2 linked regions of the Caenorhabditis elegans genome follow. The protein of the gene in region 1 purifies or fractionates together with the protein of each later gene. This does not show direct contact. Each region holds a gene or a part of one and is shown on either strand. Other genes may lie near its edges.

What was found.
Region 2: the proteins of ant-1.1 (region 1) and ced-4 purify together in Caenorhabditis elegans (affinity purification with western blotting; one study listed by BioGRID). This does not show direct contact.

What each region holds. Positions count from the first base shown.
Region 1 is NC_003281.10:13,461,301-13,465,325, forward strand, and holds ant-1.1 (ADP/ATP translocase), read left to right. Parts: upstream 1-1,862; 5' UTR 1,863-1,930; coding exon 1,931-1,988; intron 1,989-2,096; coding exon 2,097-2,161; intron 2,162-2,206; coding exon 2,207-2,427; intron 2,428-2,480; coding exon 2,481-3,039; 3' UTR 3,040-3,352; downstream 3,353-4,025. Other genes in the region: abcf-2 (ABC transporter domain-containing protein), read right to left, coding at 1-533, 585-773, 833-907; T27E9.2 (Cytochrome b-c1 complex subunit 6), read right to left, coding at 1,057-1,284; cdk-5 (Cyclin-dependent-like kinase 5), read right to left, coding at 3,518-3,604, 3,657-3,737.
Region 2 is NC_003281.10:4,850,517-4,855,745, reverse strand, and holds ced-4 (Cell death protein 4), read right to left. Parts: upstream 3,422-5,229; coding exon 2,971-3,421; intron 2,920-2,970; coding exon 2,826-2,919; intron 2,781-2,825; coding exon 2,693-2,780; coding exon of another isoform or gene 2,691-2,692; intron 2,573-2,690; coding exon 2,438-2,572; intron 2,388-2,437; coding exon 2,050-2,387; intron 1,493-2,049; coding exon 1,217-1,492; intron 1,169-1,216; coding exon 1,063-1,168; intron 1,017-1,062; coding exon 789-1,016; downstream 1-788. Other genes in the region: C35D10.8 (PH domain-containing protein), read right to left, coding at 13-126, 172-310, 406-410; F26A1.1 (Non-structural maintenance of chromosomes element 4), read right to left, coding at 3,964-4,059, 4,261-4,769, 4,823-4,924, 4,990-5,058, 5,105-5,156, 5,206-5,208. UniProt on the Caenorhabditis elegans protein: Component of the egl-1, ced-9, ced-4 and ced-3 apoptotic signaling cascade required for the initiation of programmed cell death in cells fated to die during embryonic and postembryonic development.

The sequences.
Region 1 (4,025 bases):
TCAAGCCACACACAAGCTTCCAAATCCAAATGATTGGTCGGTTCGTCGAGAAGTAAGACTGACGGTTTCAGGAAAAGTGCACGAGCGAGAGCAATGCGCATTCTCCATCCTCCAGAAAAATCTTTACATTTTTTCATTTGCATAGTTTTTGTGAATCCAAGTCCGTGCAAAATTTCGGCAGCCTTCTTTTCAGCGAGAGATGCATCCATTTCATCCAGCCTTTCGTAAACATCCATCAGCTTGTCCTGACTTTCCTCATCAGTCTGACTAGCAAGCTGCTCGGCAAGATGTTCCAACTCTTTTCTGACTGAATCGACATCAACGACCGCTTGAAGAGCAGTTTTCTCTGAAGCAGGCATTTCACGGGATACGAGGTACATATCCACGGACTCTGGGATTGGCATTTCCTTGTTGTAGATTGCCTGAATGATGGTAGACTTTCCAGATCCGTTCAATCCGATGAGTCCGTAACGACGTCCACGGTTGAGTTCGAGTTTCGTGTCAACGACAATTTCACGACCGTGGAATGTAATCTGAATGAAAACAAAGTTACTTGTTGGAGTCGCCAATTAAAAACCACTTACCGTCAGGCTTTCTACTCTGTGATCAAGACCCTTTGGATCGGAAGTCAATGATCCGGCGACTGAACGAGCAGCAGCGTTTTCCAATTCGATTTTGGCCAAGGTGGCGGCGGCCTGATCGAGCTCCTCGTCTAAACAGCAGAGACTGTTGACGGACGGATGTTGAGATGACATGGCGGTTGGTGTTTCTACCTGGAAATGAGATGATTATTATTTGTTAAACAAAAAAAAACTAAAAATCAATTGCTCACCTTCTTTTTTCCTTTTCCTCCTTTGGCGGCAGCCTTCTTAGCGGCCTCGCGTGCTTTCTTCGCATCAGACGGCATTGTTGTCCAGCAGTGATGCGGATGGGGTACCCTAAATTTTTATTTATTTATCTCTCAAATACACGGAAAAAGCGACGGATAAAAAATACGAGAGCGAAAATTCACATAAACTAGACGAGAAATCCTCAAAAAAAGCAGGAAAAGAAATATTATTTCAACGAAGCGAAGGCCTTTGGCATGGCACAGTGATCCAAATGGTGAACGTAGTCAGCCATCTCCTGATGGCAGGTCTCCTCAGTGTTAGAACGAGAGTTGACACGATCGTTGCACTCGTCGAGAATACTCTTGAATTCGGTGACATGGTCGGCACATCGCTCACGGTATTGAGTAAGTTGATCGACGTCAGCCTCGAGTGGCTCTTCCTTGTGGCTCGACATACTGATACCCGAAAAAAATTCCATGATAGTGACAAGTCATTGGCTCGATGAGAAGAGAAATATGAAGAAAACTACTTTAAAGCGATTCGAAAAACCGGTCATACCAAACTCCCGTAGGCATAAATTAGCCACAATGCGATATCGATTTTTTTCGGAACATTGAGGTTACGAATAACCAGTTATCTACAGTGTAAATAAACAAAAAACACTTCAAGTACTGCTTATCACTAATACACTATTGTGTTTGCTTTGACATGGCTCATAATTTTCATAAAAACTGAAACTTTCGCAATTAAGTTACTTTCTTGGAGTTATGACCTATTTTTCGAAAATAAATCACGTTTTTTTAATAAAACAAAACGTGAAAAATTCAGGAATGAAGGAACGAACACGTTTAGAAAAGAAAAATACGAAAAATCGATAACAAAACTGATATTTAGGCTCAAAATATGCAAAAAATCCCAAAACTGGGCGGTCAGAGAAAACTAGTGTTTGAATCGCCGCGCCTGACGCACCGTACTTGCGAGCGTGGCGAGACCTGCAAAGTGCCTCACGGGCTGTGCGCGCACCCCGTTTCGACGGGCGGCCGTCTTCCCACTATTGCTTCTGGCAAGCACCGACCACCGAGGTCCTTCAATCTTGAATCATGTCCAAAGAAAAGTCCTTCGACACCAAAAAGTTCTTGATCGATCTCGCCTCAGGAGGTAAGCTTTTTCAGTTTTTATTGCAAAAATTTGGAGGATTTCTATAATTATTAATTTTGGGTTTTCATTCGTCAAATTTGTGATTTAATTAATTTTGTTTTCTTTTAGGTACCGCTGCTGCCGTCTCCAAGACCGCTGTTGCCCCAATTGAGCGTGTCAAGCTTCTCCTCCAGGTGTGTGATGAAACTTTTTTCCACTATAAATATGAAAAATTTTAGGTCCAAGATGCTTCCAAGGCTATCGCCGTTGACAAGCGTTACAAGGGAATCATGGATGTTCTCATCCGTGTCCCAAAGGAGCAAGGAGTTGCTGCCCTCTGGAGAGGAAACCTCGCTAACGTCATCCGGTACTTCCCAACTCAGGCCATGAACTTCGCCTTCAAGGACACATACAAGGCAATCTTCCTTGAGGGACTCGACAAAAAGAAGGACTTCTGGAAGTAAGTTAAACATTGCATTATTGTTTTTAGAAAATTTCACATTTGAAATTCAGGTTCTTCGCAGGAAACTTGGCTTCCGGAGGAGCTGCTGGAGCCACCTCCCTCTGCTTCGTCTACCCACTCGACTTTGCCCGTACCCGTCTTGCTGCTGATATTGGAAAGGCCAACGACCGTGAATTCAAGGGACTTGCTGACTGCCTTATCAAGATCGTGAAATCCGATGGACCAATCGGACTCTACAGAGGATTCTTCGTCTCCGTGCAAGGAATTATCATCTACCGTGCCGCATACTTCGGAATGTTCGATACCGCCAAGATGGTCTTCGCTTCTGATGGACAGAAACTCAACTTCTTCGCCGCTTGGGGAATTGCTCAAGTTGTCACAGTCGGATCTGGAATCCTTTCCTACCCATGGGACACTGTTCGTCGTCGTATGATGATGCAGTCTGGACGCAAGGATATCCTCTACAAAAACACCCTCGATTGCGCAAAGAAGATCATCCAAAACGAAGGAATGTCCGCTATGTTCAAGGGAGCCCTCTCCAACGTCTTCCGTGGAACCGGAGGAGCCCTCGTCTTGGCCATCTACGACGAAATCCAGAAGTTCCTTTAAATTTGATAACACTTTGATAATTTTTACCTTGTCATTGTCCAACAAAATCTCGTTATGTAGCTTGTTTTAGCAAAGTAGTTCACCTAGCTACTATGTTAAGTTTTCAAAAATAAAGCGAGCCACATAAAAAGTTTTAAATCCTCTATTAAAGTTTTCCCCTTTTCAAATTCTCATTCTTTCCCTCAACACCCCGATTGAACATTCGTTAGGATAGCCCCTTTATCTGGACTCGGTTTGACAATCTCGGTTATTGCACCTGTGTTTGCCGTTGATCTTTAAAATTACTCGAACAACAATAAAACGTTGTTGATTTTCCCTTCGTTCAATTATGTGCCACAGAAAGATTTCAAACCGTAGCCGTTTATTAACGATGAGATTTTGTTTCGCAAGCAATGAGGTTCATTTGGGGTCAGTGGGGGAAGTGAATGCCAGGGAAAGCGAGAAAACAATGTGAGTAGGAAAGTGCAATAGTGAATAGTTAGACGTCAGAAGTGTCTGCGAAGTACGCATGGCGTAGAGCTGCATCGGCATCGATTCTTCCTGCTGGATTGCAAACAAGAAGTTTCTGCAAATACTTCGAGTTTGAGTAAGTATAATTTTTATTGGAAAAAAGTTACCTGTAAAAGATCACGGCCACGTGAATTCAAATTAGGTACGATTTGGCTCCATGTAAGCGTTGGATGGTAGATTGGGTAGGGCTGAAAAATGGTATGTTATACTTGTGTGTTCCTATAATGCAATGGAATTCAATTAATTATTGTCAATCTTAAATCTAGAACAGTTGTCTCTGCTTCTCTAAATCTACTCAATACTCTGTTCTCTGTCCTGTCCCAGCCGCCCGTGATTGTATGAATTACGTCACCCGAACAAACAGCTGAGCTCAAAGTACTCAATATCATTTCTTCTTTCTATCTTTTTCTTTTTTAGTTTTTCACCAATTGACACGGGCGGATAGTAGTCGGGAGGACAGGACAGCGGCAAAATCG
Region 2 (5,229 bases), 8.6 Mb from region 1:
TCATGCAAATACCACAAAGAGATGTCCATGGGTGAGGGCTCTTGGTTGATAAGTGACTAGGAGATTGCGTTCGTTGAAAATTGCTCGTCGAGCACGTGTCACCCATTGACCGAAAACAGTGAACCACTGAAAATAGTACGTAATCGATAAGTTAAAATACTGAAACAGTACAATATACAGGGATAATGATATGAAGACTGCTATCGGTCTAGATGGAACTCCATTGATGGCAAGAATCTCGATAAAGTGAAGCAGCAAAGCAAATGTAGTAATGACGCCAACAGAGGAAAGAAATCGAACATCTTCAAAACTGAAAGGAAATTGTAAAAATTACGGTTTTCGTGAAAACTCATCAAATGTCCTTTTGGAATGCACTTTGAATTTAGAACACAGAAAATAACTTACTTCATGTTCGAGACTAAAAGTACGACTTTCAATTTAATGAGGCGTGTTTAAAAATGATCAATTTGGAAGTTTCGAACAATAGGGAATAAATCATTTGGATGCGATAAAATAATAGTCCACGAAATTCTTTACGTGAATGTATTAATTCGATTAATTAAAATTATAAAAGAAACTGAATATATTTGAAAAAAAAAAGCAAGGATGAGATGAAACAAGATGTGTTGAGTATCTGTAGAAAACATTAAATTTAAGAACATTTGGGATAGATCTGAAATTTTGGAGAGAAATAAAACAAGTACAAATGAAAAAATGAGAAAACTCGTGCGAAAAAGTATAAACGTATTTCGAGGGGAATATACAGGCAATATTGTACACGATAGGTTTTAACAGCATGCAAAATTTTTGAGGGAGTCATAGAATTTCTGGTGCAATTGCATGAACTTTGGGAAGTCTTCAGGACGGATCACAGTTTCTTCTGTAGTTTTTGGATACATCTCACTGGCTGATGAACGACGGAATTTTTGGAAATGTGATGGTATATGTCGCTCCGGTACTGATACATTATTGTTTCCTATTTCAAGAAGACGCTGCTCGAGAATTGAGATTCCATTCTGAAAATTTAAAATTTAATTGAAAGTTGAGACATTTTCAGCATACGGCGATAGTTTGTGCATCAACGACGTGTTTCAAGAACATATGGATAATATGATCAATTTTGAATGTCAAAACGGGCATTCGTTTTCCACTGAGAAGAGCTCCACGTCTGAAATTTTAAGTGTTAATTTAAATCTTCAAATTTCAAGACTCATACTTGCTGAGTCTTTTCAACCGATCCGCAACTTCATCATCCAATTGTTCTTCTTCATTTGAACAAATATCAACTGGAATAACACATGACCATAGCTTGACGGGTATATCAACTCCAGGAGGCATCACAACTGCGAAAGCAAGAGCACTTCGATCCTCATCTGACAAAACTTCAACACATCTTTGAAGAGCCATTGCGAGTGACTTGTACGAGTAAGGGGTGATACATTCAACACCGACTAATCCTCGACTTTCCAATTTGTTATTAAGCTGTGCCATTCTGAATGCAAAATGTTTGATAATTTTAAGAATATACCTAGCGATTTTGGACTAAAAATGTATTATTTCGTTTCGACATTCCGGAAAATGATTAAATAAAAAGAGTATGCGGATTTAAGAAGTACAGTAGTCTCCAGCCTTGCTGTTTTTCTATTTTACTTGATTTTTTTTAAATATTTTATTCAGTTTTTAATATTTTTAGACTTGTTTCAAAATAAAAGGCTTTAAATAAAAAGAAACAACAAGAGAAAATCGAAAAATAATGAAAACAGGCTCATACTCGCTTTCATTTAAAAAATTTCCGTCGGGTCGAGACCGTGTATCTCTTGTTCAATTATGTAAAACGATAATTTTCTTAAAAAATTAAATCGATGGCAAATATCAAGAAAATCTCTCGGGTACGGTAGCTACACAGTTTTCTCTCGTGCCAGGATCCTAATTCTTGATTTTGATCCTCAATTCGTAAAATTTAAAGACAATCAGCTATGAAACTTTTTGATTAACTTTTATTGTAGAATAAATTATTTTAAAAGTCTCAAATTGGTATGTCCCACTCACTTTTCAAATGTTTTCGGTTCACAAGACTTGAAAAACATCATAAGCGTTGCTGGATTTCCACTGCTTAGTTCGATTGTTTTATTAAGCACATCTTCTTCTTTTTCTCCAACAGGCATCGGCATTCCATAAGCTTCTAGAAAATCATAACATTCATCGATTTCCAATGATGTCACTTCAATGAATTCGCATGTTTGAGAAGCAGCATTTGATATTTCCACGTCACGAGTAGTTACAAGACATCGAAGACGTAGCTCCTGAGCCCAACGAATTGTTTCTTCTTGAACTACGTCATCAAATACGAATAAAGTATTTGGACGATCAATGAGTGCGTTGCAGATCTAAAAACCAATAATTTAAGATATTGTACCAGAATCGGCAAGCAACTTACCATCCTTTTGAGTACAACTGACGTGACATGCTCCACCGATGGGAAATTGAGAAGATCGTCTTCGCTTCTTGAAAGAACACGGTTAATGAAGTCGGTGATCGAATGCGAGTCATCCGTGTCGCTCACAACACGGGCTCGTCTTCAAACACACAAAACATGCAAGCGTCACGAAATATCAAATTAAAAGCTAACCAGGTCAAATTTTCATAATTTCAAAATCATGCTGAATGTTACATGCACTCTATTCACTCACTTTAGCATCAGCAAAATATCCGTAAATAAATCGAATGTAGATTTTGGAGCTGTTCCACTATCTTTGAGCCAAACGATTGAATCATAATTTCTGTAATAGAATGAAGATCCGTAGGATTCAGATAATACCACTCACATTCCAATAAGTTGGTCAGATTTCGAAAGAGCTTGTGATGCAATTACTGATTTTCCGGATCCAGCTCGGCCGTGTAGAAACAGAAAAAAGGAGTCTGAAGTTTAAGCAAGATTATAATAAACACGAGAGCTTCCAGTTTTCTCACCTAAATCACACATCTCGTCGAGCTTTTTGATCACTCGATCCACGTGATACTCTCGAATATAGCATGTCATTTGTTTTGGAACATTCCCAAGCAATAGTTTCCTATCGAGCATTTGTCGGGAAAATTGTGGAGCAATCACTACTGGACGAAGTAGATCTGGCTCATTTATCGCAAAATCGATGTAGTCTTCGAGGAAATCAGCAAGGTGACTTTGATTGTTGTAGTTGAAAAAGTCGATGAGTGGTCCAAGTTCAGAAGCTTGACGTCGATAGATTCGAAGAAAATTGGCGATCCTCTCGAGGCGAGTTGACATTTTACTGATAAGTTCAGAATGATCTTCTGTGAAAATGTTTTTGCCTTCTAAATAAGTCAATGCGTCACGTGGTTCAAAGTCGTGGATGAGCCTCGTGTGTGCCGTGCTCAAAGCGCGGCATTCGATTTCGCAGAGCATCTGAAAAATCTTCTTGATTATAAGGAAGCAAGATTTTGTGAATTTTAAAATGCTAGGTGATGTTTTCGAAACAACGGTTAGCTGGAGAATATACAATAGCATTGATAAAAAATTATTTGTTAAACATTATATACACTTTAAAAAAACAGGCATGTAATATAGAGGATAAATCTCCAAGCCCGAAATGTGCATAAATTGTGAGGCATAAAAATACCTTGAAAATGAGTAAAGAACATTGTATAATCAGATAGAAGCAAGAAAGATTTTAAAAAAATACAGTAAAGCTTACAGATAAAATGAAATTAAACATGAAGGAGTACTAATTTATAAAAATCGTTGAATATAAATAGACCGGAAGATATGCTGATCTCGAATGCAACGAGTAAAAAGTAGACAAAAATAAATTCGAATTTTCAGATAAAAATGCAGTTTATTTGGTAGAAACATTGTACAGGAATGTGAGAGGCCTAATAAACAAAAATATATCGGCAAATCGGCATATAGTTCTTATTTAAAAAGCGAATGAGTAAAACAGTGAAATATCACAATCCTTTATCCTTTCCTCTTTGCTTAGTGATTGTCACACGTCCTTCTTCTAAATCTTCCACTGTCGCTGATATTTGCCGAGAATCCCAACCCTGTAATACAATATTCAAATACAAAAACAGTACATTTTGTAGCTTCATACAACAATCAGAAAAATTATAATTTAAATTAAAAAGAAAGCCAAGCCCTCTTTATTGCGTTTTATTGATTTTTAATCGTTTTTCGTTAATCTTCGAAAATTAATTTGGAAAAAAAAACAATTTTTTTAATTGTAGAAACATCAGATAACTTACATTAGCCCCTTTCAAGTTAATCATTTTATCGGTGACAATTTCGAGTTTTGCGAGCATTTCTCCAAATATTCTGTTATACGCATAGACATCTTCGCCGTGTTTGAATGACTTGTTATCGATCACAAGTTTCGGTTTCTGAATCGATACCGAACAGACAATGATTCGACGCGAATTCGGCCGATTCATAATAATATCCAACTCTTGTCGAATTCTCGGATTTTCGAAAGACAAATTCAGCTTGAATTCAGGTATTCGAGTATTCTGATTTGAATTGAAGTAAGTGACTGGCTCAACAAGCTGTCCTCCTCCACGTCCTCGCAGAGTTTTCTTGTTGGACTCGAACACAGGCGGAGCTGACTGTTGTTTATGAATATCGATGACTCCGTATTCATGCAAAACTGTTTTGTCCATTTCATCACTCCTTTTCGTGAATTCGTCTAGCAATTCCGTTAACCGCAATGTGCATTCTGCTTGATCTGCGGCACTTCTTGTATTGAAATCATTTTTTGCTAAAGAATTTGTATTTTGAGCTTTTCAAAGTTTTCAACAATTCAAAAGATACCTTTTAGTTCGGCTCTCGCGCGATGGCACTCAATTCGATCCTTCTGGACTTTTCTATCTTTATCGAAGTTCCGGCGAGCAGTATGTAAAAGTGGATGATTGTCTGAAACATTTAAATTTAATAATTAAAATAAAATCAATAAAAGATAATCTTGACAGCTGGTTTACCGTGTTCCAACATTGCCAGCTCTTCAATTAATTTATTGATCGGCATGTGACGAGCATGTCGGATGAAATCTGAAAGAAAACCATTATCATGTGAATGTTAATCAATAATATATACCATCGTCAAACTCCACATCGTTTGTGTTAGATGTACTCGCAATTCCAACGTCCTGGAATAATATATTCAATTAAAAATGTTTTAAAATACTAGTCTCTCACCATCCAGGATTGTTATAGGTTAAT